Lonchura striata: one gene and its partner. The protein of the gene in region 1 purifies or fractionates together with the protein of each later gene. This does not show direct contact. Links are inferred from orthologs where the notes say so. Each region holds a gene or a part of one and is shown on either strand. Other genes may lie near its edges. The genes, in order: NOLC1 and NOP58.

What was found.
Region 2: the proteins of NOLC1 (region 1) and NOP58 fractionate together in Homo sapiens (co-fractionation; 3 studies listed by BioGRID, with this or other methods). This does not show direct contact. The link is inferred for Lonchura striata from reciprocal best matches to the Homo sapiens genes NOLC1 and NOP58.

The regions. Positions count from the first base shown.
Region 1 is NC_134609.1:13,344,963-13,356,891, reverse strand, and holds the start of NOLC1 (nucleolar and coiled-body phosphoprotein 1), read right to left. Parts: upstream 5,275-11,929; 5' UTR 5,234-5,274; coding exon 5,120-5,233; intron 4,983-5,119; coding exon 4,927-4,982; intron 4,850-4,926; coding exon 4,728-4,849; intron 3,640-4,727; coding exon 3,524-3,639; intron 2,746-3,523; coding exon 2,604-2,745; intron 2,101-2,603; coding exon 1,988-2,100; intron 1,337-1,987; coding exon 1,186-1,336; intron 671-1,185; coding exon 530-670; intron 135-529; coding exon 45-134; intron 1-44. Other genes in the region: PIK3AP1 (phosphoinositide 3-kinase adapter protein 1), read left to right, coding at 8,419-8,431. UniProt on the Homo sapiens protein: Nucleolar protein that acts as a regulator of RNA polymerase I by connecting RNA polymerase I with enzymes responsible for ribosomal processing and modification.
Region 2 is NC_134610.1:26,729,061-26,740,989, forward strand, and holds the start of NOP58 (nucleolar protein 58), read right to left. Parts: upstream 8,041-11,929; 5' UTR 7,958-8,040; coding exon 7,913-7,957; intron 5,880-7,912; coding exon 5,803-5,879; intron 4,095-5,802; coding exon 4,042-4,094; intron 3,847-4,041; exon of another isoform or gene 3,758-3,846; intron 2,360-3,757; coding exon 2,235-2,359; intron 1,244-2,234; coding exon 1,107-1,243; intron 1-1,106. Other genes in the region: SUMO1 (small ubiquitin-related modifier 1), read left to right, coding at 11,895-11,906. UniProt on the Homo sapiens protein: Required for the biogenesis of box C/D snoRNAs such as U3, U8 and U14 snoRNAs. Part of the small subunit (SSU) processome, first precursor of the small eukaryotic ribosomal subunit.

The DNA of each region.
Region 1 (11,929 bases):
AAAACATTAACACAAAAGAATTAGAACTTTATTTACTGAATTACCTGAGTCACTGTCAGAACTGGATTCAGCCTTCTTGCTAGTCACAGCTTTCTTCTGAGGGGCAGGGATTGTTTTAGTTACTGCTGCTTTGCCTGCAAAAGAAAGTTTAAAATTAATAGGCCACATCCACACCAAACCTTTGTCCCTGGATCCAAACCTTACCAGATGTGAAAAAGCTCCACTCTCAGTATACCAGCTACTCAGCCAGCCTACTGGAAGCTCTGCAAGAACTTCACTTATTCCCACTAAACTAGATCCCAATGACTTTTCAAATCAGCATGTACAAATGCAAGCTGACCACAGTTCAGATCCACAAGTTGTACAGAGTGTTGTTTGGCTTGCCTTCAAATTAGTCAGAAGATTCCAGAAGACCAAATAGCAACATAGAGCAAAGACAAATGGCTTTTTCAAGGAAGCCAAGACCTTGCAGAAACCTTGTTGGCACAATGTAGTACTTCCCATGCAGCCTCTCCTCCTCACAACGCACCTGCCTCTGCCTTTGAGGGCACCTGCTCTGCCTCATCACTACTGTCTGAAGAGTCACTGCTCTCAGCCTTTTTTGCAGGAGCCTTAGCAAGTCCCTTCTTTGTCTGTGTTCCTTGAGGAGGTGGTACAGCGCTGTATGGGCCTATGAAGAGAAACACAGCATTCAGATGTCAGCAGGGTAATGTGAGCAGCACAAGGTGTTTGTTGTATTCTGCTGTTCACTTCCATTTATTCCCCTTCTGTAGCTACAATCCAAAACTAGCTTATAGATTATACCCACCTCACTGCTACCTCCTTGTTTTTACTGAGTTTAACTCTCATCTAGGGGTTCAGCTGACCCAACCATCTCTGCAGAAGTTGTCTCTGCACTTTTAGAAGAACAGGAGCTTGTCAGCAAACTTTTACAGAAGGAAAATCAGATATGTCAATTTTTCATTGTTTTCATTTATTGCCTTTTCAAATCCTCTGGTTAGAGAGTCAGACTGACCTTAGATGATTGACTCTCTACTCAGACCAACTCTCTACTGGAAGCCTAAGGACATTATACCACACTAAACAGAGGCCCATTGAGCCCATCAGCTGGACTCCAACTGAATGGCCCTGGATACTTCACAAAAAAAAAAAAAATAACCAAACTATTTAGTATTTTTTACGTACCAGATTTTGGCTTTTGCTTTGCAGGTGGCTTTTCATCATCTGAGCTGTCAGATGAGTCCTCACTACTGGAACTTTTCTTGGCATGTTTGGTTTTCCCTAGACACGCTTGAGTGGCTGCAGGTTTTGGCAGAGGTGATTTCTTGGGAACAGCCTTATCAAAAGAAATATATATTAAAAAAAGAAATTGCAGAAATCTTGTGGGGACAACTGGATGTGGATCTTGCTTAACTCCACACCTCACTTAAGAGCAAATTCTCAAGACAAAGGGAAAGAGATTAACCAAGATTCTCAAACACAAATTTTAAGAAACACATGAGTATCATTATCTTTCTATCTCCTCTGCTATTGTTTTCTGCTCCATGAACCCCTAATGATGAGCTCCTCTGGACAAAAGGATGGAGGACTGACTGAAATTTAGCAACTGCCACATGATTAAAAACAACTATGTTTATTTTTGTGTTGCAAGAAACATTTTTAAACACTTGCTAGTGGAAAACTCAAAGCAACAGCTAAACATGAAAGAGTCAGACCAAAGCAACTTTATAAAATGGAGACACAATATAGTTATGACACAATAAGATGTTTTCCTGTAAAGGAAGGAGCAGAGAAAGTAGTAAGGAGATATTAGGGAAGAAAGCAGTACATGAAGAGATGCTAGAACACATAATCCCACCATAGGAAGGAGAAGCAGGTGTAAGAGTTATGTTGAGCACAGCATCTGTGTAGTCTGTGCCTGCAAGATAATACCCAGTGTTACTAGACTTCTACACTGTTCATTAATTTTTTTCATAGTCTAATTTACCTTTTTTGGTGCAGCCTTTTCCTCATCAGAATCTTCACTGCTGCTGCTGCTACTGCTACTGCTTGCTGCTTTTCCATTGACAACTTTGGTGGCTGCCTGAGCAGCTTTACTTCCTTTTGAGAGAAGTAAAACGGGACATTGCAAAACATGCTATGTAGATGAGGGATAATTACATAGAGCAGTGAGTATCTTAGAGAGAAAAGAACCACAGAGCAGATTAAGTAGTACTGCTTTTGCAGTAGTACTGCAAAACTCTTGGTTTATCCTACTGCAACCTTAGAGAAAATTTTCTGGAAACTGTCTTGTAGCTCATGGGAAGTTCCAAAACTAAAGGCTTAGTAATAATCTTCCCTGCTGTTTGAGGAGACGACAATGGTAAAAGTAATAGATAAACAGTTATTCAAACAATGTGGTGCTCAGGACCAGATGTTTTATTTTCATTCAGTTCTACACCTCTATGTCAGAAGAGACTAGACTGGAGTGCAAATGGCAGCAAAAGCAGATTTTCAGACTGCTATGTTAATACGTATGTCTCTGCATGTAGGTACAGCCCCCAGCACTCCTCCCCCTGCTTTTTGGATTTTGCACTTTACTCATGATACACAGTAACAGGTACCTGATTTCGGTGTTGCTGCTTTTGGTGGTTGCTTCTTTGGTGCTTCTTCATCTGAGCTGCTTGAGTCAGAACTGGAACTCTCTGCTTTCTTCTGAGGCTGGATTTTGGTCCCAGCTGGCTTCACCACAGGTTTTGCACCTTTCTAAACAACAGCAGGAAAAACTGATTAAGCCTCAAAGTCATGAAAAGTAAACAAGGCTAATAAGATGGACACATATACAGAGTGTAGAAACAGCTGTCTTTCACAGAAGTTACGATTTAGATTTGAAAACGCCAGTCTGCTTAGTGGTCAGGGTCTGAAAATCCTGGGAAAAGTTTTGCTCTAGAAAACCTCCCAGAAATGCACATCAGTCTTCAGTTTTGCCTCCTGAAAATGGGGCAGTTCTGAGGCTGGCACTGTCCTCTTCTCTTATCTACAGATCCCACTAGCTTGAAGACTGAAAATAATGACTGGGCAACTCTAGTTGGTCTCCTCTAGTGTACAATGTTATCACTCTTCCTCCCCTGACATCATTGTTCCTTGCCTCCACTTCAAGACCATGACTGCAGCAAGAAAAAGCAAAGAGAAGATTCTTTTTTTTATGCAAACACATACACACACCCATATACATAAAGATCAAACTCATAGTACTGAATCTTTCTTTACAAAGGAATTAAGCCCTGGCAGTCTTAGGATAAGAGCAAGGACCAGACTTGGATATGAAACAAAGAGGGTGGGTGCAGGACAAAAAATTAACTTTTCCTGGGACCAATCCAAACTGCACTACAGAAATGTCTTTTTGCATGGTTATCTACAGCAGCATGGGCACTTCATAGTCCAGGGATAGTAAGCCCAATATCCCACACAATTCTGTTGGTTAAATTTGCTAGTATTCATCACTGTCAAACACACATTAAAGATGCTGGAAAGAAAAGCCAACCTTTGCTGGCTTCTTTTCCTCCTCCGAGTCTGAATCATCGCTGGAGTCCTCACTGCTGCTCTCTGCCATCTTGGCTGCAGGAACTGCTTTTGCTTTGGGCACAGCTGATGCTTTAGCTGCAAAAAAGGGACAGTATACATTGATGGCAAGTTAATTCACAACTTTCTAGTACTTACATCCTGCACTAGTGGGTGTTAGGGCAAAAGGATACATTAAGGTAATTAAACCATGACTGAAGTTTGTAAAACTGACTTTGTTTCTTGAGCAGTGTATGGCAGACTGCTCTAAAATGGGTAAGCAAAAAGATAAAACCATTCCAGGCTTTATCTTTGTCACACACAAATTTAAGTGCAGATTTCTATCACCAAAGAGGACATCCCAAAAAGAAAGAGCACCCCTCAAACTGAGATAATATTAGCTGGGTCTGCACACCTTCCAGCTTAAAGAAACCTGCTGAACCAGTACTGACTGGTGCTTGCAAAGAGAAACACTGCAATGTCGTGTTAAGGTTCCAGACACCCAAATGTGTTTTGGCCAAATCCACTTCCTGGTTACTGACTGCTTTTCAATAATGTGGAGCAAAACAAAGAGTTTTGTCTTATATTATATTTACAAATGTCCTTATCAAATAAAAATAAGATCTAAATTCAAATTCAGCTTTAGGATGGCCCAAGTTGACGACAAATTTTTCTGTGTTTCTCCCTTTCCTCATTTATTCTTTCCCTCCTGTAAACCTACTGCTAGACACACACAATCTTGTGTACAGTGATTAATGAAAGATACAAGAACAGTTTCAGATAAAACAGAAAAATCTAGCTCACCATATAGCAAAGTGCAGCACAGGGATATATTTTTTGGTAGCACTAGTACATGAGCTCTAAAGAAAAAAGGGCAGCAACCTCACGCAAGCAGCAGGTGAGTATGGATACCTAGGATTTCTCTGGAATGGCTAAAACCTTCCATGGGACACAAACTGCTGTGCCTAAATTTTAACAAGATACAGAGATCAGCCTTAACTAAAATGAACCTATCTTCCATGTCATGGGTAAAAGACCTGCCAAAACCGAAATCAGTTAATACAAACCTAATCCCTGACAGCTGCTGAAAGACCTTAAAAGAGCAACTGAAGTTGAGCTCTAAACGCACGTGAGAAGCCAATGGCAAACATAATCCGGGTGTGCACCAGGGCGGCGCACAAACCTACCACGTTTCTTGGCCGGGGGCTTCTCATCCTCTTCGCTGGAGCTGTCACTGCTGCTGGCGGACGGCTTCCTCTTCGCCTGGGCGCCGTTCGGGACCAGCTTTCCCTTCTTGGCCGCCGGAGACCTGCGGGCAGAAGGGCTGAGCGGGGTCCCGCGGGGCGCGGGCCGGGCGGAGGGACACCGCACCCCGCGGGGACTTACCGCAGCCAGTAGGTGAAGATGTCCAGGAGGGAGGCCGCGTTGGGGTCCTGCTCCTTCTAAAGCGAGAGAGGCCACACTCAGTCAGTCAGTCAGTCAGTCAGTCGGTCGGTCGGTGGGTCGGTCCCCCCGCCCACCCGTCCGTCCCGTCCCGTCCCGTCCCGTCCCGCTCCGCTCCGCTCCGCTCCCCGCTCACCGCCGCCGCCTCCCTGGCGAGGGCGCGCGCGGCGCCCTGGCAGCCGCTCTCGCGCAGGAACGCGAGCACGAGGGGGAACAGGTCGCTGGGCACCGCGCGCCGCTCCGCCATCATGCCGCGCCGACACGTGCCGCGCGCGCACGCGCCCGCGCTTGCGAGCGTGCGTGCGTGCGTGCGTGCGTACGCGCGCCTACGTGACCCCGCCCCTACCGCTGCCGAGCTGCCCGCGCGGCGCCGCTCCGGGGCGCTGCCCGGCGTGAGGCGGCGGGCACGCTCCGTGCTGCTGCTGCTGCCGCCTGTGGGGCAGCGGCGGGACAGGGGCTGGGAGCCCGGGAGTGCCCACTCCGCTCTGGATTCGACTCTTAGACTTAAGTCCGCTTAAGACTCACCAGCTTACTCGTACTTGTAATCTGTTGTAAATGGCTGAAAGGAGACCGCTGGGGGAATGCTGGAGAGCAGGAGCTGGGCTGCTCTGGGGCGGAGAGCAGGCTGGGAGCTGCGGGCAGGCTCGGTGCCGGCAGAGCCCTCAGCAGCGCGGCGCAGCCCCGCAGGGCTGCGGGCGGAGCTCGGGGCCGCTGCCGGCACTCGCCGCTGCTCTCAGCCTGAACCCATACAGGAACGTACTGAATACTCCTGCAAAATCCCTACGGGAACAGAGAGAGCTGGTGAAAGTAACACCATAATCCTAAAGCGGCAGCCTGTGAGAGACAGAAAATGAATTTGAGACAAGGTTGTCTAGAATATAGGCTTGAGGGGCTTCAAGGTGGGAGATAAGGTATGAAATAGGTATAGCTCAAATAAGTGCTGAAGACCCGGACCTGACCTTAAATGGAGCTTCTGGACCTATGGAAAAGGGTGGATGTGGAAGCCCCAGATGGGGCTGAGCAGGACAAGCTTAGTGTGTTAGTGTGCTCACAACACTGATGAGGATGAGGATGAGATTTAATTCACCTGTTGTATATTTAAGTAGCTTTAGTTACTTTTACAGGAAAGTTTTTGTTGGTTTTTTTTTTTTTTTTTTTTCTGTAATACTGCAGATTTGCTCTGCTGGATGTAGCTCTCTATTCCTGCCTTTGTGATGAATGGCACTTTTCTTCTTTTCCTTCAATAGATGGTACTATAAAGCTTGCTGAGGGCCAAGGAAGAAGAGAGTCCTGTACTTAAAGTCTAGATTTAGGGCTGCCAGGCTCAAAAAAACAGTGGTAGGTAGGCAGTATTTTGCTTTTTATATTTCCCCTACCTAGCTCTCTGCACTTAACTATTTCCAAATACTGCTGTTCTGTGCTCTGTGGGTGTTCTGTGCCTTGGTGCCCAATGAATATGCACAACTGGACGGGCTCTGTTCTCAGCAAATTGTACCTGTTCCTGGTGTTTCTGGAAGGACCCATGTTTGCACTCATGGGGAAACAGAAGTCAGCTCTTGTGGTATTTTGTACTGTAAGATTCTGTAATTTTGTACAGATGCTGTAGCCTGTGTGGCAGAAAAGGGGTGTTGTGCGGAGGCTTGGTTAGATATGTTTACTTGTTTTTGAGATTCCCTGCCCCTTTTATGTGTGGAATAACACGAGGCTGTGTTGCAGAAAGGAAACTGTTTGCAGGAACTAATAGTTTTTGTAGTTTCCCCTCTACAGTGACCTACAGCTGCAAGCTTCATCTGCAAAGCTCAGCAAACTTTTGTGTTTTTGCCTGCGTTGGAAAGGAAAAGATGCAGCTTTTGCTGGTAAACTGTTGTTACTTTAAGCCCTGCTGTGTGAAGTAACTGTGTGAATTTCCCTGGCTGTGAGGAGCCGGGAAAATGACTGACTGTGTTTGCTTTACTGGCTCACTTTGCTTCTCCTCTGGTTAATAAGTATCTCCCTCTCCTGCCTGGCCTTTGCCAGCTAGGTCTGTTCCCTGTGCTGTGTAGCCGCTTCTCTTCAAAGGTGTGTGGCTCTCTGGGTGTGTTCGCCTATGCTGTGCCTGCAGCTGTCCAGATCACCTGGCAGGGAAAGCCATTTTGTCCTTGTATTCCCCAAGACAGTAAAATAATGTGGAACAGTCATAAAGTCATCCATTTGTTTAAATAGTTCTTAATATATACTTGCTGTTGCATAATAGTAAAATAATTTGCTTAAAGATTCTCGTTTCCAACTAGTTAACTTTTGTCTTTCATATAAATCCCAAGTTGGGATTCTTCTCCAGTGTCTGTGTGTTCTTTAGTGTATAATTTTGGGATGATTCAGAGGGGAAAGTTATGGTTTCTTCTTTGCAAACCTGGAATTACTCATAAAGCTTTATCATCAGGAAGTGCTTTTAGTCCTAGTGCTTTCCTATTGAGAGAACACCTGGGTTTTGGAAGACAGGTAGTGGCATGCAGTTTGTAAGCTTAAAATAGGTTTTCAGTAAAGAAAGATTTGGAGGTAACAAGAGAGTTTGACTAACTTCTGAGATAGAGTTTATTAGTGGAAAACAGTTGGTTCCTTTCTGCTTGTAATCACCTCTGTTCTAAAACTAGTGGTGACGTTAAGCTGTTTACAGAATGTCGAATGACTGCCTTGACTGGGAAGCCAGATTGTAAGGAGTCTGCTTTTGGTGTGAAGTGCATCAATGAAAGATCTCACTGGTTTTTCAAAGTGGTTTTTCAAAGTTTGCAAAGGAATAGGCTGAATAATTTAGGCAGAATCTGTTGCTTTGTCTCCAGTGACAAGATTAGTAAATTGAGTCCTACTCTCTGAACAATAACGTTGTCCTTCTGGTGCTTATTGTCTCTGTACTCAAACATGAGCACAGTCTTACAGAAACTGGTAAATTTCATTTGGAAGACAGCATCTTCTAGCTGAAAACACAGAACATCGAGCTACTTCATTCTTAGGGAGCAGCTTGGCTTCTCCCTAGGAGTTTTCCTTCCTCATAGAAGACATGACAAAACCTAAGTTAGGGATGAGTATAAAACAGGTATCGCTTATTCTTCTCCTCAACTGTTGTTCCCGGTTTCTTGAGACCACTGTATTACTGTAACACAACTTTCCTCGCTGTAGCGCTGTTTCCTCGGCCACCTACGGAAAGTGTGATAGGAGCCAGCTGGAACAGGCAGCTTCCCTCCTTGGGGCAGAGTCCCGCCGAGTACCGGAAAGGCGACGTGCGGCCGGGCAGGGGCAGCCCGTGCCGGGCTCTGCAGGGGGCGCCGCGGGCGGGAGGCGGGGCCGGGAGGAGCCCGGTGCCGTGCCCTGGGCTGTGCTGGGGGCGAGGGAGCGGCTCCGGGGGATGCACCGCCTTGCTGCGCCGCCGATGTGAGGGAAGGGGAGCGCCAGCCCCGGACCATGGCGGCCCCCGGTAGGTGCCGCGGCTGCCGTCCCGGGAGCCGCGGGGAAGCGGCGGGGCTTCTCCGCGCGGTTGTGCTGCGGCGGGCCGCGGCTGCCCGGAGCTGCCCCGCGGCACGGTGCCGGCAAGCGGAGCGTAGCGGAGCCCTGCCCGCTGCCCGCGCGGGGCGGTGCCGCTGCGCGGCTCTGCGCGCCCCTGGCGCTCCGCTGCCGGAGAAAGGGAAGGCGGTCCGCTCTCCGGGTTCAGGGAGCCCCGGCGCTCCTTCGCTCGTAGCGCTTTCTAGCTCGCCTTGCTTCGCTTGTCTGCAGTTCAGGGCAGCTGCTGGCAGAGCTTTCCTGCGTCTTAAGTGAACTTCGGCTTGGCAGATCAGCGACTTCTGAGGGAGGGTTTCTGTAGAGTATTTTGCTCGTGTCCGCCTGTACGACTTGTGTGCTTTTCTGTGATGTTTTATAGAGAAGTCAGTTTTTCCTAAATATGGCTTTATTCTTCAGCACCACTTCCTTTTGGGGGTATACTTGGTGCCTCTTGCCACAATGGCACAGGATCACAAGCTAAGCTAGTTTGCCGTAATTGAAAGTGTTTTAGCTGACGTGTGTGCAGGTAAGGCTACCTAGACTAAGAGTTGCAGACTCAAGGGGAGAGGAGTTTAGCCTGTATTGTGTAAATCTTGCTAATGCCCAATTTGCAAGTTCCTCTCTTTGCAGGGAAGCGTATGGGTTTTATCTAAAAAAGGAAAAAAAACGTGCCATTCTCAGGGTGTGAAGTAACATTTGTGTTTCATTGACGCGTATCTCCTTGTGAGGTAAAAATAAGTTAAACGGAGGTCTCGGGAGACTTGTGGGCAAAACTACTTTTCTCCTTATAAACAGAAGGTGATTTCACAGAGACCCTTAAAAAAAGAACAACTTTAGATTAATGTATCATAATGCAAATCTCTCGTTCCTCTCTGTGAAGTTAAGTTTGCAGAAATGTTGTCTGCTTTGGTTCTGCTGTTTCCTCTTACTTGTTTGCAGCATTTTATTTAAAGTGAAGATTTTATATTCCAGTTGAGGTAAGAAGTCTCATGTGATCACTATTACTGTGCATTTCATGTATGCAGAGTATGCATTTATTTCATCATACATCACTTAAATACACACACTTCACATACTGAAATGTGGAATGTGCTGAGGACTTATTTTAATGGCCCACCAGCAGTTTCTATGACTTGCTGGAAGTGCTCTCTCTTATAAGAATTTGATTATTAAGATGCTTTGAGTTGCATTTCCTTTATGCCATAAACAATTATCTTTAATGGAGAGTCAATTCCCATCTGTCAAGGATTGTTATTTTGAACAGCATTATTTCTGTATCCTCCATACACATGAATCACAAAACACACTGGAACAGGTTACATAATGCCTTTCTTATGTAGTCAGAGATGGATTTTCTTGTAGCAGATGAAGATAAATTGTTTGCCACTGCATATGATAAGTTAGAGTGAAGGATTTAGTCTGTTTTTTTACCTGGTCTGTGGGCAATGAGAAGTCATTATCTACTTATGAGAGAGAGGTGTGTGAAAGATGACATAGAAAAGTTGTGTATTGCTACAGCCCTGAATATTCTTTATGCGATCCATAAATACAATGGAAAACTTTATGATCTATAAATTGAAAAAGAGTCAAACCTTTTGGCTTATGGAATGAAACGATAGATAATAACAGTCGATAATGTAAGATGTAGTCTTACCCAGAGCTGATATGCCAGCTTCTCACAGTATTGTTTAGCTATTTCAGTGGTAATCAGAACCTTATGATACAGCCATAAACCACTATTGCATGTTTAGAGTGAGCCTAATGATTATCACCTCACTACGTGCAGACATAGTATGGAGATGTGCCTGATTTATTTGCTTTTCAGAGAGAGACTGTGAAGACATGACATGGTCATGCATACTTCTATATGCTTGCCATGAGCGTATATGATTTTTACTGAATTGTTTCAGCCTCTTCCATTCTATGAGCGATTTGTGTGCTGGGGAAAGCTTTGTATCATGCCATTTGTGCTGTTTGTGGGGCTTACACTTCAATGATGGGTCTTAGGCATGTCTATGGTACTAGTTTGTAATCTCACCAGTCTGTTATCGTTGCTGTGTAGTAAAGTGTGCAGCTAAACACTGGAGAGGCAGTTACAGCTGGAAAGTATTCCAAAGGTTATGGTTTAGCACTGCAAACTGCAACAGAACTGCACCTTTATGATTTTCTATGAAGCAAATGAACATACCCTGCAATATTGTTAATAGTGCTGACATTTTGTAAACAGAAGCAAAAGTATTTTTTATACTCTAAACTTAACAATACCTTGTTACTGGATTCCTAAAATTTAAACTTTAAATTTAAAATTTAAGATCACACTTGAGAGTGTGAAAGATAGACTTGTACTAGCCAACTGTTTTTCTTCATCTTGATATTGTATATAGTGTTCATATATTTCTTCCTTTAATTGAAGACTTTTCCAAAACCAGCCTGTAAAAAGCATTGTCAAACCATCTAAGAGCAGGGTTTAAGGAAATGTTCGGTGTTCACCAAAGGAGTTCCCTATATACCCACTATAGGCAGAGTATACATTATATTTTGTACTGTGCTCTGTGAGTTTTTCTGATGTTTGAAAAATTGTGAAAAACCTCCCTGAAATGTTATTTATTCTTTTTACACTGTTCCCTGAGGACTGAGCAGTAGTTAGTGCTGCAAAGGCAGCTATTTGGTTAGATAAATAATAGCAGGATCCAGGAAGGAGAGTCCTGTGTCATTCTTCTTTTAAAGGAGAATGTTGCAATTGAGGTTATTTCTAGATTTTTGGGGTTTTTTAAAAACAGTCCCAATGCTGACTTCAGCTTATTTAGCTCTGCAAGACCCACTTCCAGTATTTTTGCTTATGAACATGGAGCGTTACTTTGGCTCTACAAGTGGAGTCAGTAATTTTATTTCTCAGTTCTCATTTTAGGAGCGTTGTTCCTCAGTTTATTGTGTACATGTAAAAGGAGCTGAGGGAAGAAGGCCTGAGGAGAGCCGGTACAGCTCTGTTGAGGGGAATGGTGTTCTTGTAGAGCAGTGCTAGCTAGGAAATCAATACCTTTCCTAAACACCAGAGGAAGTTCTTGCCTGCTGGATGCAAAGGTTGCACTGTTCTGACAGGGAATTTGCAATTAGTCTGTCCAGTTTGCATCCTTTATCTACATAGCAGAGAAGGGAGGGATTCTTGGATACTTAGTGCCCCTGCAGTGCAAGGTATGTTTCAAATCAATGGCTCTTCCTCCTTGTCTCTGAGCACAGCTTACTTTCATTGAAAGCCTGGAGAAGGGCATGTTGACTCACAAGTATAGTTGTGGAAGCTGTGTGCTTCCTAAAAGTGAATGACAGGATTTTCCAGAGACTGGAGGTGGGTCTGGGTAGGACTTTAAGAGCTTTGGGCACACCTCAGAGTCATTTTGTGGTCTCCCCATCTGTTGAAGTCAGGCTCAGCTGGCCATGG
Region 2 (11,929 bases), on another chromosome or scaffold:
CCTGTTGCAGAATATGCCCCACCTGTTCCTTTTTAACATTAATAGTTGTCCACAGGTTCATTGAAACCAAGCTCAGTTCTGTGCCACTGACTGCTCTCAGCTGTGGCTAGAAGCCACAGTGACACAAGTTTCACAATAGCTCTCCCATACCCTGTGATCATGGTGAAAGAGAAAGTTAAGGTTATTTGTACCACCTGCTGCAGACTGAACATTAAGTGCTGTGTCAGGAAATTAATTGGCTCTTGGTTTTTCTGCATGGTTCTCCACAAAATGTATTTGTCAACAGCACTTCCAGTTGGCAGCAGCTGGAAGCATTCCACAAAACTGCACCTCCCTAGCAGCAAATACCAGCAATGCTAATGTGAAGTAACAAAAGAAACTTCCTGGAACAGATTCTCATTGTCTGAGAAAGCCCATTACCATCTGGCTTTAATGTTATGTTAACATTTTCTCTGTATGCTACAGTGAAAGACACTTAGTATCAATGAGGATTTGCATCTTAAAAGTCCTTTTTCAATATTAATGACCATTTTCAAAGTAAACACACTTTTAAGGAATTGGCTACAGCAAAGCATTTAACTTGCCAGTGGCTTGTGACAGGACAAGCTCATGTCAGAATATGGATTAAAGTTACTTCACTAATGGATGCTTGATCCCATGGTGATCCAACAACTTTGTATTTAGCTACTAATCCACTAAATCTAAAAAGCAGCAAGAACAAGGTGGAATGAATAACCCTGCCTTTAATATTTGCATTATCTATTATATGGGCATTTATTCTAGCCCAAATCATCAACTTGTGGTCTCCACCTTGTCTCTTCATGGCAATGGAACTTTATATGACTCCCTTGACTATTCCAGGTGAATTCCTGAAGTATGTAACAAGAAAAGGAAAGCTACCGGCTTCCACTTTGGGTGAAGAGGAAACCTTTCTCTAAATGGTGGGTGCAAACTGAAAAATCTTGTAAACAAGATTTCATTTACAGAAGTATCTTGACTTACAGAGAAGGCCATGCCACGTACTCAGAAACACTTCAAGCAGTGCAGCTCAGCCAGACACAGGAATGGGGCAGACAGGATGAAACAGAGCTGTTGTAGGAACTCACCTGTGTGCCAGACCCAGGCACATAGCTGCCATCTCTCGAGAAGGGAGGCCTGTTATGAGCCCTTCAATCTGTGAGCGAATTCCTCTCATCAGCTCTGTAACCATTGGGCTGTGTATACAACTCAAATTCAGCTTCTCCTGCAGTGTGGAAATCAACGGTCCAAAATCAGGCATAGCACAACATTCCTCTGAAGTCTTTCTTCCAGCAGCCTTACATCATTTTAACTGGTTTTCCCACTGCAATCCTGTGATCACACAAGTTTCATCCATTTTTCATGTTCAGGGCAGTGACACCCCCAGTTCCCCACACAGTTAATATTCCACTTTGAAAAGAGCAGATTTATAATTAATATTCTTATCTGCTGTGTAGAACATTCAACTTAAGAGTCAAGATATTGAAGTTTACTAGAAAAAGTTTGGTCACAGAAAGAAAATTCAGAGGTAGAGGGTTAGGGACTTTGTGACTTTTTCAGAGAATAAGACTGAATAATTAGATTAAAGTCTTTGCACTTTAACATTAAGCTCTTATTTTGCAACCTACAGAGTCTCCTAAGACAGCATGACAGAACAAAGTTCAGTGGAACAGGGAGCAATTGGACATGAGATGGGCAACTGGTATTTGACACCAAGGGGACACTGGAAAAAGCAGTCCACCTTCACTGAACTTCCTTCTTTCTCTGGGCAGGCAAGGACCAAGGGGTGTGCACAGCTACCTGCACACTGAGGAAGGTACAACAATGCCCACTCCCAAAAAGACAATAAATCACCACCCTACTACTGCTTCATGTGTTAGTGAGGAGTATGTGTCTGCCTGGCTTGGGTTTTTTGATCAGTTCCTTCCTCCCCTCTTTATCTGGATTGGATAATTAGAAAATTAATTTTTCTACTTGCTGGGTTTCTGACCAATGTTTAAGAGAGAAATCAAGCAAACCTGAAGACCTCAGTGCATTCTTACCATATCAGTCACCTGTGTTCTCAAGACAACATCTTCCCTGTACACACACCAGGATTAACTATCCTCTATATTGCAAACACAGCACTGGCAGCATAATCCACTGCAAAACCTCTGAAATCCGACTATAGCATTTCAGGAGCATGAGACAAAGGAAAAACAAAAATCAGTTATCACCTTTATGACACCTCCAAGTTTGGCATCTGCCACAGCCAACTGCTCGTGGGCATCTTTTGCCACGATCTTCTTGAGAATCTTTTTCAAGTTCTTGCTGAGCTTGCCTTCTACAAGAGCTGTGGATGCTGCATAAAACAAAAGACCAAAGATACCGTTTCCTTCTCCTAAAACCTGTAAAAATATTACTTCTAACTTCATATATTTATTTTAACTGTCCATAGTAAAGTCTAGTTTGAGCTGCAATATTACTTCACCATGCAATAGCTGAAAATCAAAATAGAAGAAAATTATACACATCCTCCTCTGAAGGCCTAAATCAAAAATCTTTCTCCTAGTTGCCTCTCCTTTCTCCGTATGTTTTCAGTTCTATTTTTGCCAATTTTGTTTAAGGATCTCTACAAACAGTATGCCATATGCTTTAGATCCATGCTTAACATTTCCAACGGCAAAGTTATATGGGAATATTTTGTGTATAATTTAATTAACCAACCATTTGCCAGGTCCCTTAGGCAGCAACCAAAATATCCTAAATTGAGTAATGGCTTATTTGCATTCTCTGGTGATGATAATGTACTATCTAAAGCCCCAGGAATAATGCCAAACTGGACAGTCAGACAGACCCTTTTAATACAGCATGCAGACAGGAGAATCTTTAAAAGATGTTCTTCATTCTTAAATATTAATAGATCTGTAAAAGCTTTACAATCCCACACAATATATTTTAAGCAGGCACTTATACAACTCTGAGGGTCAGCTCTGTGCTCCACTGAACTTCTGGGACTGATACATCTCTAACACAGTAACAGAGCAGCAGCCAGTGATTTTTGGTTTCCAGAACCTAATGACATGTAGGAGTAAAATCAAAGTGCTGTGCTGAATTTCCTCTCAATCCTTCTACAATGCAGATAATTTTCTACCCTGCAAGCTGGCCAACAGCATCTAACCCCTTGGAACAGTCACATACGCCTTCAAAAATAAATGAGCCATAAGTCATCTGAACCTCTCCATTTTGCATACAAGTCAACTTGAAGCAAAGTAGTAGGTGTTAGATGTTTTTGAGGTTTTTTTAACCAGCCTAACTATACATGAACTGAACCCAAACCTATGCAAAAGCAGCATAATCAAAAAAATATGCCACAATGTACAACAGCTCTTTTACTTGCATCTCCTGTTTGATGGTTGTGTCTCCATTCTTGTTTCTTTGCTTCTTTTATAAGCTATCCCTACTGCATCAGAATATGAAGATCTTTAATTATAAATGTGATGTGGAACACTCACCTACTTAAATCATACAGCACATTCAGCAGTAATTGTCACACCATTTCTGAATTATTGCCTAGAATTCCTACCATTTCTGTTCAAACCAGGCCATATATCAAGCATTTAAGTGCAGAATTCATAAAAATTATTGAATATAAGGTTTTCCATTTTGCTTAAACTCCTAAATTTGAGGAGAACACAGACCTTTCTTAGGCTGTATCCATAAAACCCAGGTGGTTGTAATAATGAATGACCTCTAATACCTATCTGTTGTCTCAGTGGTAGTGACGAATTATTGACTCAAATCAGTGATATTCAGCTTCAACAAGAATCCATCATTGACAACAGACAGGCTACATGTATCAGTCACAACTTATATGGTGCTCATTTATAAACTGCTGGAATATATGCACTGAAGGAAAAAATGACACTTTATTACATCTTTACTGCACTATAGACTGGATAGGTGACTTCATAACCATCAAAACCAGCTCACTTTTAAAAACTTGTAATTTAAAAGCTAAAATAATAGTGTTAACTCACTTACCAGCAAGTGCTTCTGTTGTATCCTGAAATTTTTCGAAGTGTTTCAGCTTTACTCTACAGAAATAAAATAGAAGTGTGCAAACAAGTGTATATAAACCATATCCTAGAACCATTTTTTTTTCTGCCTCTGCTACTACAGCTCCTCTCTTTTCCCTACAGCTTCAAAAGAACAATATGCAGACCCTCAAAAAGGACTCAGCGCACTAAACTGGCCAGTTGAGTCTGGTGTGACATTTCAGCTCAGTCTCACAACTATATAAAGAAAAAAAAAAAAAGGAATTTTGATTTGGCATTTCTTGGACTGACATCACCAGAAAACCTAACCCCCAGTTTTGCATTGTAGTTCATATTTAAAGACAGACATCATCCGTTTAAATTTCAACACTGCAACCTGATTGACTGATGATAGCATCTTCCCACTCATCTTCAAAAGGAAATATTCTGCCTCTGTGGAATGAAGAGCCTGCATAGCTCAGATTTAACATGCTTTTCAACCAAATACATCTTCAAAGACTTTAAATTTGAACTGATTCATTGCCCATAAATCCTCAAGTCTTCCCCTGTAATTAGATGTTAGAATACAAGTTCTGAACTGAGTTTAAGACAAACAACAAAAATTTCTTAATGCCCTAAGTGCTGACCAGAGCCAAGAATCCTATGAAGACTGTTTAACCACACTGTGACAGATCCTTAGGTACAGCTTCCCTCTACCCCTCACAGTCTGTGGTGTTGGTATATAGTTACAGTTAAAAAGCTATCTCAATCCAGTAAATTCCTCGTCAGGGACAGGCATTTAACTAATCCAGCTCTGATTAACAACTGCTGATTGTGAGTCAAGTATCAGCAAAGGAAGCAAGGTCACAGATACAGCTGAATACTTGAGTTAAGCATTTGCAGATCTCAACAAAAGCTTCAGGCTTACACTGATGCCTTTTCAGAAAGGCAAAAGAGGAATTATTTTTATCAGAATGGAGATCCCATTAAGAGCCACATTCTGTATAGCAAGTGGCCAAGACCATGTTTCCAGGACAAGATTAACCACACTACAAACAGGCAGATGTAGGATATTCTGGACTCCGCTCTAAGTAGTGTTACAGAGCAGGATAAATATGAAATGCATAGCTTACTCAGATACATCCATTATAATCAAAGCTGGTTAGAAATCTTCCAATAAAATCACTAGACAGACTTGGAAGGAATCCACCATTGTCCCCAGCTTTAGGGCAATTTGCTAGAAAGGCTGGCTTGATTAGAGGACGCTGCAATCCCTGTGCAGCTCTGCAGTGGTGCTCTCACTGATGGCATGGCCAACAACACTAGCTCTCAATTCAGTGATTTATGTAGTTCCACCTGGATTAAGTTTTATTTTTCCCAAAAGAATTTCCTGTGAGCACAAAACCCTGGCATTTCACTGACACTTCCAGCATTAAAAGCTTGGATGTTCTTGTCAAAGCACCCACATTACCTTAAAATACTGTTCAATTTTTTTGTTTTGGTGACACATGGTAATGACTTCTACTGCTTAATTACACTGTAAGGTATTTCTTTCATTTTGATATTCCATTGTAAGCATCTCAAAGCATCTCAGAGTATCTAACTTCACATTATCATTGCTCACAGCTTTTACAATACTTTTTGAAATAATAATTTTTGAAACCCAAAAATCAGTACTTCATTCTGAACCTCAGCTGTGTGTGACTACAGGCAGCCATGTCCTTCTTTCACAAGCCACACTGCTATCCCTACATGTAAAGCTGCTTACATTTTGTTTGCTTTTTCAGGAGTTTCAAATTCTTTCCACAGACTGTCAACTTCCTGAAGCTTTTTCTCATTCAGAACCTGTAGGAAAAAGAAACACAGCACACAAGTATATTTAGTTATTCAACCTAGGAAACCTGAAACATTTACAGTGTATCCAACCACTTTGCAGTAGGTAACACTGAGTCAACAAAGTCAACCTCAATGATCTGTGTTTCACCATTCTCCCTCAGCAGCTTTACCCTACTAATAGACAATAGTGCAACATTTTTACTATCACCTGAATTACAGAAGTTCTTCAGTAATGGCTGCATCCTCCTGGACCTGGCACATTAAAGCAAAACTCTATCAAAACTGGGCTTGCTCCGCCTCCTCTACAGGACTCATAATCATGGTGACCCAAACCCAAATTTACCACTGCTTTGGAAAAATAAAACATCTGGGAAACCTAAAAGAAAGCACTGATCCCCCAAATTATTTTCATTAATCAGACCTAACCCAAACAAAAAAGAAATTCCTGTAAAGAACAGTTGGAACCACAGCTTGATCATCAACCAAGCCAAGAATTACCTAAGAGGCAGCAATGGTTTAATCACATCTCTGTACACAGGGAACCCCCTCAGTTTTAAGCAGCACAAGATTAACACACTGGAGCCTATAAACATTTCACAAAATGCAGAGTGCACAGGAAATTCCCAAAAAATTGTTCAGGGGAATAGTCGAGATCTTTACAACACTGAGTTCTTTACATCTCACTCAATAATCTTGTGGTTTTGTCCCCACAATGCAAATGCAAAGCAATTGCAATTTAACTCAGTGCAGAAATCATTCCTAGTATTATGAATTTTGCTCCCTGGCAGATTTCTAAACCGTGGTTGAAGGAGGTTGTGTTTTTTTAAACTCAATTTGTAGAATTGACATCCCACATGACTGTGAGGCACAGCAAAACCTTGGGGCAACCTCAGCCAGACAATTCTTTCCCGCAGTTCATTTTTCCTACACCAAGACCTACAGAATTTTTAGCCTCTATAAACAGATATAGGCACATAGAGAAAATTAAAGACACAGAAACTGCTAAAATCAAGACTGGTACTATATAAAAATGACACACCTATGGAAAACTGCTGACACCTGCAGCAAACACTGCAGCACCTCTGCAGATACCTCCCTGGAGTTCTCTCTGTATGTCCCTTCTCCTACCTTTGCTTTATGCCTGATCTACCTTCAAAAATTAAAATATTAAAGTTTGTATTAAAATATTGCCTGAACTGTACGGCTTCACCCCAATAAGGAGAAAATGTTTTAGGGCAGAGAAAGGAAATATAGAGAGAGCAAACCAGCAAGGATGCAATTCTGCTGCAGGCAAAGGAAACCAGACCCTTCCTCTCTTCGCATCTGCACTCATGTTCACACAAGCTAAAACCCAAGACTAAGCTGAAAGGGGAAAAAATAGGAACGTTATTATGAACAAACGATGACCAAGCTGTACATGCATCAACACTCGAGCAAGAGAAAAGCCAGAAATGAGCACGACACTGTATCAACTCTAGTTTAGGCTTGCTCAAAGTCCCAGGCAGCTGCAGCCCGGAGCCACCCGGTCGGGAGGCCGGCAAAGCCCTGGGAAGGTGTGTGCTCGTCCCTCTGGGAGAGCGAGGTCGGGACACGAGAAGCCGGCAGGCCCAGCGCAGGGCCCCGCACGGCCGGGAGACGGCACCGCCCGCCACGCGGAACAGAAAGCGCACAGAGAGCATCACTTCCTACCAAATCCCGCCCGGCACAGGGGAGGAAGGGAGCGCCAGAGATGCCTCTTGGCAGGCACCGAGTAACTCCCCTTCTGCCCGCCGAGCAGCTTGCCCCTGCCCCGGGGCCTCTGCTCCCACCCTCGGCCCTGCTCGCCCCGCGAGGGGCCGCACGGGATGCGGGAGCCCTCACTCCCTCCCTCACTCCCTCCCTCACCCCCACTCCCTCCCTCTCCCTCACCCTCACCCCCCACCGTGTTTCCCCGTTATTCCCTCCGCAGGCCCGACGCGCTCCCCTTCGCCCTCCCTTCTGCTCCGCCGCAGGTCGGCGGCCGCGACCCTCCGTGCGAGCGGCAGCGCGGCCCCGCGGCTCACCTTGAAGATGGCGTAGCCGGCGGCGGTCTCGAACAGCACCAGCATGGCTGCGGCGGGCGCCGCGTGCGCCGCCGCCACCGACCGCGCTCAAGCACGCGCGCGCCGCGCGGCGGAACCGGAACGGGAAGCGGCGGCGGCAGCGGAAGCGAGAGCGCGCGGGGAGCGGAAGCGGCGGGTCGCCTTCCGCCCGCCAGCCACGTGGCGGGGCCGCCCCCGCCGCGGGTTCGAGTCTCCTGACGCACAAACACGCGGGAGCTGGGGCGCCGCCGGTGTGCCCTTCTGGCACCTCACCCGAGCTGTCCTCGCTTCCCCGGGTGCCGCAGTTGGCGGCAGGGTCGGCCACCGTTGATAGGAAGCGGGTGTGTTCCCCGGGACGCGAGGGGCCGTGCTAGAGACTTTGTTTCCCGAACGGACCCCGAAGCAGGGGTCAGCGGGTGGTCCTCTCGGCGACCCCGAGCCGCACCGGCCGCGGTGTCGGGGTTCAGCGGCGCTCCCGGCCCTCTGCACGTGGCGGGTTGCGTTCTCTGCCCACTCCGCTCTCGCTCCCGTGGCCTGACCTGCAGCTCATCGCACCGAAAGCATTTCCTTTGCGTAAAGAATTGTTGACACAGTGCGATTGCGAGTATTTAAAAGCTTGGCTTCGCCAACAGACAAGCACCAAATTGCTCGTATAAAACGCGTTTCGAACGCTGCGTGTTTCCCCGCGCTGCTCGGCTCTCCCCGGGGCACGGGCAGCTCCGTCTGCGGGAAGGCACGGCCCGGGGCGCTGGGGCGGCCACTTGAGCCTCCTCCTACTCTGGTGCCACCTCGTGCTTTGTCCTTGGCACAGCCCGGGCGTGCACAGCGCGGCGCCTGGCTGACCTTCTGTGCCGCGGCCCTGCTGGGGAGCCGAGCAGCTGCGTGCCGGTGGGAGGCGGGCGGAAAGCGCCGCTCCTTGCCCTTAGAAATCCCCGCTTATTTCATACGCAGGGTTAGCTGTACTGAAAACAGGCAGAGATTTTCCTGCCCGCAGGTAGAGAGGCTCCAAGAAACGCTTTTGATTTATATCAGACAGTCATTGCTGCGTTTTATGCAACCATCTGTATGAGTCAGCATGCCTTTGTTTCCAGGAGTACGCTGGAAAGTCCACAGTGAGAGAAATCTGTGGACTTTAATATTTCTGAAGATTTTTTTATTCAAAGGAAAGACTTTGGTACTTTACATCACATAACCAATTTTCTTAAAATCCCACAACCAGTAATATTGCCAAAGAAATTAGGTTCAAGGAGGTAGAGAATTTCCAGGTTCTACCTAGTTTTAAAGTACTATTTCTGGCCCTGCTGGCAGAGTACTCTTATTATGTAAGAGCTACTGTTAACTTAGCTGGTTGCCCTAGAATACTACATTCATCCTGTTGGCTAGCACTAACTGCTATCAGGCAAGCAAATTGGTATTATGAGATTACAAATTGTTTATAGGTTAAAGTCTCCTTTTTAAAGAAATCTGTTTCTGATGGACTGAAGCTTTGCACAGACTCTATGTATGTGTGGGCCAATAGCTTTGAGAAAACCTCTTGCAGCTATTGGCTCCTATACAGTAGCTTTGGAGAAATCAGTCAACAGAGGTGAACTTTATTGGCATCAGGTGACTGAGGTTAAGTGCAGGTAGGAAAATAAGAGACATTATAAAACACCTGAGAATTCAGTGAGGTTGTTAGGGCAAGTACTATGGGCAGTGCGTGCAAATGCAAGGCTGGCTTTGGGTTTTGTGGGAAGAAGCTTGTGTAAGTATATTTGGTATTTTTTAAACAGCTTTTGTTACTTTCTCTTTAAGTGAATTCTATGTTGAATTTGAGCCATTGAAAAAGAAAAGTGAGAGCTTTACTGCTGTGCATCCACAGTTTTCACAGTCTTAGTGGAGATTAACTTTGAAGATCCTGTATAAAACTAGCTTGTGTCTTGGAGAGCTGGTGCATCCACAATTGATGGAATAAGAAGGGTGGTGAAAGGTGGTGCTACTGTTAGTGTGTGTGCTGATAAGCACATTCTAACCCTGTATCTTTATGGCTATGCATGTGGATAGATAACTGCACTCTAACTCATATGAGTGTTAGCTTTTATTATGGGATTACTTGAAAAAATTGGGTTTGTGCCAGAGTCTGAGACTTTGGCCTTAGCACAGTAAGGCTCTGTTTTTAAAAACCCATTTAAAATTTATAAAAAGCAGTAATGTTCAGGATAGAATATTTGTCATTTTCCATTTTGCTAGTATTGTGCGTTGTTGTGGAGCCCTTGCATGGCTTATTTTGGTGCTTTGTGTGTATTATTAAGCTCATAATGAGCTCTTACTGTGAGCTTGGCATAGCATGAACATATTTGGCTTTTCTGCTTGGCCTTGTCTAAGAAAGATCATCTTCATTCTCTAGCTCTGTATAGCATTTGTTTTGGTTCTCTTTATTTATTTTTCCCTCCCTTGTTAATTCTGACTTGTTTTAACAGTTGTGATTAGAACTAATTCCCATGAGTCTAGATACTGATTGTTCTGCTGGCTGGCAAAAGTGCACCTCTTGGTGTAGCTCTGTTTGTAGCTTGGCATTCACTGATAAGCAGAAATGCAGGCACAGAGATCAGCTGCTTTGGTGTTTGGTGTTATTACAAGGGAATATGGCACACAGAGCATTGGCCTGTTTATGTTAATGAATGCCTCTTGCTCAGAGCTAATGAATGTACTCTGCACTTTCCCAAAGGTAGATGGTAAAGTTGAAACTCTGTTTAGTAGCATAAGGGTAATAATCTCATTTTTTCAATTGAGCTAGTTTCTGTTGATTCATTAATTTTACATTCATGCTATTTCATGGTTCTCATGTGTGGAGTTTTTTTTCTACTTGCTGGTGGTCACTTAGATCTAAGCATATGCCAGTAGTGATGCCATGCAGGAGTTGCCTGAGCAGTTGTAGAGGGGATGTTAGGACTCCATGCTATAGTCCAAACAGCTTGCAGCCTAAATGTAATCTTTTAGGTAGATGTTATTTCTTGTGCAGACTTCTGAATAGCGATGCTGTGCCAATGTAAAGCAGGGCACCTGTTCTAATGATACATCTTTGCAAATTTATTCAAATGCAAGCCTGGCTGCAGATTTGCTTAATACATGCAGATCCCATTGCTTGCATGGTTGCAAAAAAAACACTGTCTCTAAACAAAAGTGAGTTTTGCTATGGCATATTGTCTTAATAACAACCTCAGCAAGATATTAGAGGTAGGCAGTATGAAAGTGATTTTTGCTCCAAGATCTACTATTGTGGGAAGGGTTATGTGACTTCACATAATTGTCAGGATTGGAAGGGATCTCTGGAGAGCATCGAGTCCAAGCCCTGCCACGCAGGGTCACCTGCAGCAGGTGACACGGGAACATGACCAGGAGGGGTTTGAATATCTCCAGAGAGGCAGACTCCATGACTTCCCTGGGCAGCCTGTTCCAGTGCTCTGCCACCCTCAACCTGAGAAAGCGCTTTCTCAAGGTGAGGTGGAACTCATTATCTTTTAGTTTATGGCCATTACTGTTCGTTCTGTCATTGAGCACCACTGAGAAGCGTCTGGGACCATCCCCTTGGCACCCGCCTTGGAGGTATTTCTGTGCATTCGTGAGATCCCCTCACAATCTCCTCCAGACTGAACAGGCCCAGCTTCCGCAGTCTCTCCTCATGAAGAGAGATGCTCCAGGCCCGTCACCGTAGCTGTGGCAACCCTGGCTCCGGTCGCCAGGGCTGCCCTTAACGTTGGTCGCTTCTTTCGACGGCGACTCTCGCCTCCCCCGCGGCCTCGGCGGGAGCCGGTGCCGCGCGAGGGCCGGGCGGGGCCGCAGGCGGGGCCCGGGAGGGAAATGAGCTCAGGCGCACCGGAAATCCCGCCCGTGCCGCGGCCCTGTGTTTGCGCTGCGGGCAGAGAAAGGAGCGGAGCGCTTGCAGCGGCCCAGCCGAGCCTGCCGCACGACACGGGGCCGAATCATGTCTGACCAGGTACGGGCAGCTGTCCCGGCCGC